Linked DNA regions of Mus musculus. The protein of the gene in region 2 interacts with the protein of the main gene of each other region in a biochemical or structural test. Links are inferred from orthologs where the notes say so. Each region holds a gene or a part of one and is shown on either strand. Other genes may lie near its edges.

Region 1 (3,652 bases), on a different chromosome or scaffold from region 2:
TAACTCTTGAGACTCTTAAACATTTTGGAATTAAAACAAAACAAAACAACAATATAAAACCCAAACATTTTTTGTCCAGATTTTATAGTTCTTTCAGAGAGAGGGCTGCTGATTATAATCCACTCTGCCATTTCTTATAGCTAGACTGCTCCATCTTCCTGTAACACAAGAGAACACTTTCTTATCAGAGTTATCCAGCCAGTATATGTTGATCTCTTGGTTCTTTCAAACAAAAATATCCTACCTCATGGCTATGGGTAGTAGCTCACATACCAGGAAATGAGAACACCATAACTGGAATGATTTTTTAAATTTAACTTTAAAAGCTATGACATTAAATTTGAACATAGTTTCATAAGAGGAGGAAGTACATGTGCTTACTATGTTTACTTTTAGGTAAAACTATTTACAAATGAAGAAAATATGGTTACCTTTACACTCCGGAGGGCTGTTACTCCAGGTGTTATGGCCAGCACAGAATATCATGCTTGTTCCAACAAGGGAAAACTTATCTGGCCCTGGGGTAGGATCACAACTGTAACTTACTGCTTCATGGTATTTGAATACATTTATATCAGTAAGGGTATGTGTTCCATTTTTTATTTTTGGAGGTGGTAAACAATAAATCTCTTTATAAAAAGAAAAAAGGGGAAATAAAAGTTAAAAGTGATGTAGTGTCTTTATTCACTACAGTCTTAGAAAATTCTATAAATTATCGTAAACAAATTCTTCAATACAGGATTTCTATGTTATCTATAACTTATAGAAATTTCATCTAGAAGACAGTTTCTCTGATAAAATCCATCATCCCAAGTTTAAACCCCTAAGAAATGACCTTTTAGGACAAATACTCATTTTTCTAAGGGAAAACACAAAGTTTATTTGTGAGACCATGCTAAATTTTGTGCTACTTTATAGAAAAGATGATGATCAGCCAATGAAAAACTGTGATGTAAAAAAATTAAACTGAATGAGAAATGTGTGTTAAGAGACAGCTACATTCATTCACTAGCCTGGTGGCTTGCAATCATACTAACATATTATCATTTATCATTTTTCATCCTCACAGTACAATCAGCTTTTTGCAAAAGCTACAAATTTTGATAATCAAAGGAATTAACTCCCTATATCTTCCTCTAAGCCAAATATTGAAGAGATTACAAAACCGTAAAGCAGTGTCCCTAGCCTCACTTTTTGAAATTTCAGTAAAAACATGTGAGTTTATTGTCCTTAAAAAGAAATAATTATTTTAAAACATCTTTAACATGATTACTATCTATAGATATAACCACAGAGAAAAGATTTTTGGGCACTTATCAATCTAAAATTATAATAGGGTCCTCAGGCCAAGAGGTTGAGAACTCATATTCTAAATTTTAAAAAGAGAATTTACTTACTTTCACAATGTGGGGGATAGCCATTCCAGTATGCTTCATCATCACCTTTAAGCACACAGTGTAGAACTGACATACCAACTACGTAATAACTAGATAGCAAAGAAAAAGTTACTATTTTCTTTGGTAGCTGGTAAGATACACATAATAATGAAGGACAGTTTTAATTGACTTCCCCTTAATATAGTAGTTTGAGGGACAGGTTTTTTAAGGTATAATGAAAGAATTAAACAAATCAAAATAAGCTTTAATCAGATGAATAGTTTGTGAACACACACTGTTATATCTAGGAACATCTGATGTGAACTGGAATCTTTGCTATCTCCTACAATCATATAAGTATGCATCTGAGCCTTTGCTCATCCATTCTGCTCTGAGAGGATGAAGCAGAGAAAGGATTCCTTAGGAAGGTCTGTCTGGGTTCTCGTCCTAGCTCCATGACTGCTGGCCACTTAACCTTTGGCAAACCATTTAAAGTTTCTTTTGTTCCTCAACTAAAAACATACAAATAGATAGGTGTGGTGGCATACAAGTTTAATCCTAGAACCCAGGAGGTAGAGGCATGCATGTTTCTGTGAGTTCAAAGCCAGTTTAGTATACACAGCAAGCTCCAGGCATACATAGTGAGACCTCTTGTAAAAACAAAACAAAACAAAAACAAAACAAACAAAATTAAATCAAAGATTTCATAGTATTGTTCAAGAGAATTAGATAAATTAGAGTCTGGCACACAGCAAGTAAAAATAATGTTAACTCTTACTAATATTATGATCATAATGTCTTCCTAGAAACAGATCAGTATTAATCCTATCAAGTCTCCCATGATTTAAATGCACAGATTGTTATTGTGGACCCCCATGTCACCATCATGAAGTATTCTTATCTGGCATTTTTTTTGTTATTTTGTTCAGTAGCTTCTGTATCTACTGGATTTCTCAACAAGATTACAGTGTCTTTGAGAAAGATTTATGCCCTGAATGTTTGGTTCCCTAAACATGCCTAGAAAATTTCCTCCACATAGCTTTAACTGAATGTGTTTTTACGTGATAGTTTAAAAATTATCAATGAAACTCTGTTTACAGATAGTCATAGCCTACTTTCCCCAAGACTTGTAATTACTTCTGAGAGAGTCCTAGAGAATAAAAACTGTTACTCAGTGGCTAATGTCTCCTTTTGAGATGGTTCAGGTTAAGTAGCAGTCTAGAAAATAATGTTTCCCAACTGAAATATCCTGTCATATGGTGGTTAAGATGAATCATCTTAATTTTTGACTTGCTAATACCTTCCAGAATTCTCCTTTGGTTAGTAATTCTACCTCAAGTTCATTATAACCCTACTTCAACCTTGAATTGGCAGTAAATATACTTGACTGTGAAGGATAAGGTCACCATAATTACCCACCCTCTTTGGATCTGTATCCCGGACTGGCCTGGAACTGACTGTGTGTCCCAGACTACCCTCAAACTCATAGAGACCCGTCTGTCTCATCCTCCTGAGTGCTGAAATTACAAGTATGAATCATTATCCCTGGAAGATTTTCCCATTCTTAATGTTTATCATAGACTTTTTATTAGATATAGCAAGTATTATACACACTTGTTTTCCTCCAATTTCTTTATTTATTAAATATCTCTCCTACCACTATAAAGGACCCAAATATTGTTTGGTTAGGGGCACGGTTTGTCATTTAGAAGCAAAATGAAAGTATATTTATTTGAATGCTTAACAACAGAAGTACAACAATGGAATCAGGAACATTTACCTTATTTCCCATAATGAGCAACTTACCCTTCCATACAAGTAAATTTAGCTCGAGCACCCCATGAAAAGCTGCCATCTATGTAGTATACTTTGCCAAATGAAGGGTCTTGTAACATAGTACATTGAACTTCTAGAAGAAAATAACAATAAAAACTTTAATATAGCTCCAGTGCCAGTTGCACTTGAATCAAAGTCAAAATCATATATAGTTCTTTTGAGATTGTGGATTATTTAATAATTACATTGTAAGAGTGTGGTGGTTTGAATAAGATAGCCTCCATAAAGGCATTTGAATAGTGGGTTCCCAGTTGTTGGCTGTGTGGGGAAGATTAGGAAGTGTAACCTTGCTGGAGGAAGAATGTCACTAGAATGAGGTGTGCTTTGAAGTTTCAAAAGACTTGTTCTATTACCAGTATTCTCACTGATCCTACTTGTCATTCTGAGATGTGAGTTCCCAGCTCTTTCTGCCACTGTGTCTTAACAACCATTATGTATCT
Region 2 (3,652 bases):
TTGGGGGAAGCCCTTTTTTTTTTTTTTTCCAGAGATTTCTATTATGGTGGCTGTAATGATCTCCTGTATCTCCTTGGTATTTATTAAGGCTGCTGGGCAGTAGTGGGAGGAGCCACCACTGGGGGATGATAGAATTAGATTGGCAGTTAGGTTCTTTCCAGGCACGTATTCTGACTTGTTGACATTTCTGACCATCTTGATTTTAATTGCCATGGGCATTCCGGAGGATTGTGTGCTCTTTATAACTTGTATTCTTTCCGCCTAGCCGAGAACTTGTCTAAAAGGTTGATGATGAAGTTGAGGTCCTAGGACATCTCACTTGTTCTTGGAAGATAGCATAGAAAGCCAGGGTTGGATCTTCTCATAGTCGAGCTTTGCCCCTTATCATGACGGACTTCTTCAGCCTTGTGTCTCTTTGGTTCTAGACATAAATGACTGTAGCCAGAACCCTTGTCACTACGGGGGTACATGTCGAGACCTGGTCAATGACTTTTACTGTGACTGCAAAAATGGCTGGAAAGGAAAGACTTGCCATTCCCGTAAGTGTTGCTGCCGGGGTCTCCTGTCTGTCTTCTGAGGGAGGGGAACTCTCTAGCAGAGAGACTCATGCTAAGGTCTTTCTTCAGGTGACAGCCAGTGTGACGAAGCCACGTGTAATAATGGTGGTACCTGCTATGATGAAGTGGACACGTTTAAGTGCATGTGTCCCGGTGGCTGGGAAGGAACAACCTGTAATATAGGTAACCTTCTGCCCCCTAGGTGGGATTTGCTGCGGGCAAGGCTATTGTCTGAGGTGGTCTGCCGCCAGGCTCTTAGGAAATGATCATTTCCTTGGGTCTGGTTCTGCCCCTTAGACCACCTTGGATCCTCTGGAAAAGGGTGGTCTTAACCTGTTTTTGTTTTATAGCTAGAAACAGTAGCTGCCTGCCGAACCCCTGTCATAATGGAGGTACCTGCGTGGTCAATGGAGACTCCTTCACCTGTGTCTGCAAAGAAGGCTGGGAGGGGCCTATTTGTACTCAAAGTGAGTGGCCTCCCCTGAACTCTTTCTGGGTTGCTGCAGCCTACCCAAAATACCCATGGGGACTTGGAATCGAAACCAGAAGCACAGCTGTTTGATGTCTGCTTTCGTATCACCTGGGTCCTTACTAATGACTTGATGGGCTGCAGCCCTGACCTGGGCATGAGAAAGTTCCCTGGGAGATAAGTGGAGACAGATGCTGACTCTGTTCCCAGCCGCGGGTCTGACCAGCAGCCTGCCTCCTCCCATTCTCAGCCCTCCCTACTCCCTGTTCCCTACAAGGGCCTCTTCCTGTATACATGTGTCCCACAGCAAATGAAACTGAGTATGGTCCAGGCCTGCTTCCAATTTAGACTAGGTTTTCGGCGTATTTGACTGGTATTAAGTGTGACTTTTATCATTTGGGTGCTATGGAAATAAGTAAATGGTGCTGTGATGGAGACCCCCAAGGCTGTTGTCTTTTCTTTGCAGATACCAACGACTGCAGTCCCCATCCTTGGTAAGTGCGGCAACCTCTTAAGCTGGTTCTTGGCTGTTAGGATGCATGGGAATCTCCCGGGATGATGCTGAAAATGTAGGTTCTGATTCAGGAGGTCTGCGGTGGGGCTGTGTGTTTCTAACAAGCTCCCAGGTGACCCTGCCCTGCTGCTCCGCGGACCACACTTTAATTATCCAGGTTGTGTCTTCATTTAGTGCAATGATTCTCAACCTCAGGCTGCACAGGGGAATCACCTGGGGAGCTTTTAAAAGTCCCAATCCCTGGGTTGCGACTGAGACCTAGGAAATGAGATTCTCAGGGGGTAGGACCCAGGCATCAGTATTTTTAAGCTCCTCGGTCAGCAGCAGATATGGCCTGGGGTGAAAGCCTGTGTTTGTGGCAGGCACGGCTTCCAAGTGCTGGGTATGTTGTGGACCTGGATGTCGGTAACTAAGGTCACCTTTGGTTTCTTAGTTACAATAGCGGGACCTGTGTGGACGGAGACAACTGGTATCGGTGCGAATGTGCCCCGGGTTTTGCTGGGCCAGACTGCAGGATAAGTAAGTGTCACTGTATCTGATGTCCCCTTGTCTGTCCTCCTCAGCATTCAAATCTTTCCTCTTTAAAAACAATGAAGACCATAATTCCAAATAACCCTGACAACTCAAGCCCTCTCCTCCCTCTAGCTTGGATTTAAAAGTCCCTCGCTGTTGTCCTCCCTCGTCATTCTCTGGGTGGCACAGCCTTCTTTGTTCTCGGGGAGAGTGCCAACCATAGAATTTGACAATTAAGCTATGAGAGAGCCCTGAGGGAAAAAAGTGTATGCATCCCTCGTGATTAGCATGAAATTATGGCCAAGCCATTGTCCATGAAGACGGCTGTCTCTGGCTCCATAGACTGTTTTGTAGTGGGTTTGACCAGGCCCCAGAGAAACAATTAGTAGGATCAAGGAGTAAGGTTTTTTCTTAGTGTTTGTTTTGTTTGTTTTTCTTTTTGCCTACTTTTTAAAACATCTTTTTCCCACACAAAACAGTGTAGGAAAACTCTTATTTTTGTTGTTGTTGTTTTTTTTTTTCCTCAAAACTTTAAAATGTTAGTTGTATTTGAAGTCCCATAATCTGAGATGGGCTGGACTTGAGCACTAGGTGAGTAAGTTATATCTGTTTCACCTTCTAAAGCGGGTTTGGCAAAGGCATCTGTCCCACCTGTTTTTGTAAATGAAGTTTATTGGCACTTGGCTGTCCTTACTTGGGCTTGTCTATTTCCTGCATCTGCTTACAGGGTGCCACCAGACACCACTGGTTATGACCGACTTTATGGCCTATGAAGTTAAAATGCTCGCTCTGACCCATTTTCAGGGAACGATGGTCAGCCTTGGTGTAAAGTCAGAGGAGAGAGAAGCTAAGGGAAAATTGCTCCCTTTGCAGAGGTTCTCAGATTTAGGAATCAGAACTGTTGTGGTCTTTGGTAGTCAGGGGCTGGTACAGGCTTTGTGTGTTGTGTGCATGGAAATTCACCAAGTTTGTATCAGCATTTGGATGCTTTTGGGCAATGTCTGTGAAAAAACTTCCCACCGAAGTCTGAACTTGACCTCATTTCTCCTAGACATCAATGAGTGCCAGTCTTCCCCTTGTGCCTTTGGGGCCACCTGTGTGGATGAGATCAATGGCTACCAGTGTATCTGCCCTCCAGGACATAGTGGTGCCAAGTGCCATGAAGGTAGGCATGCCAGGGTGTGTCTTCTGAATTGAGTGGGCTTCACAGTTACCACAGCTCACAGTGGGGGGGGGGGGTGCACCATGCTCAACGGGGAAGGGAACAAAGCAGGGTGGTACCTATGGGTTTCTGTTGCCACTTAGTTGCCATGTAACAAAGTTCCTTAAAACCCAATAGCTTGCAGTATCCATTTTTGTGGCTTGTAGCATGATAGCTGGGCAGAGCACTGATTCCAGGCGCAGTTCTGGTCAACTGGTCCTTAGCTATCTCTGAGGCATGTTCTTCTTCTCATGATAGATGGCAGGCACACGGGAGGCCAGCTCAACTGGGAAAGCTCTGTTACAGGGCCTCTCGGGTCACATCTGCTGAGACTGCTTTAGTCAAGTGACCCAAGTGAGCAGTCAGAGGGGATGGATGGCCAGTGCACGTGCCTGACA

The links.
Region 1: the proteins of Jag1 (region 2) and Cd46 form a complex in vitro, tested with the Homo sapiens proteins (2 studies listed by IntAct, with this or other methods). The link is inferred for Mus musculus from reciprocal best matches to the Homo sapiens genes JAG1 and CD46.

The regions. Positions count from the first base shown.
Region 1 is NC_000067.6:195,082,151-195,085,802, forward strand, and holds part of Cd46 (membrane cofactor protein precursor), read right to left. Parts: intron 3,286-3,652; coding exon 3,183-3,285; intron 1,487-3,182; coding exon 1,398-1,486; intron 630-1,397; coding exon 432-629; intron 1-431. UniProt on the Homo sapiens protein: Acts as a cofactor for complement factor I, a serine protease which protects autologous cells against complement-mediated injury by cleaving C3b and C4b deposited on host tissue.
Region 2 is NC_000068.7:137,085,484-137,089,135, reverse strand, and holds part of Jag1 (protein jagged-1 precursor), read left to right. Parts: intron 1-425; coding exon 426-539; intron 540-626; coding exon 627-740; intron 741-907; coding exon 908-1,024; intron 1,025-1,492; coding exon 1,493-1,520; intron 1,521-1,973; coding exon 1,974-2,059; intron 2,060-3,104; coding exon 3,105-3,218; intron 3,219-3,652. UniProt on the Homo sapiens protein: Ligand for multiple Notch receptors and involved in the mediation of Notch signaling. May be involved in cell-fate decisions during hematopoiesis. Seems to be involved in early and late stages of mammalian cardiovascular development.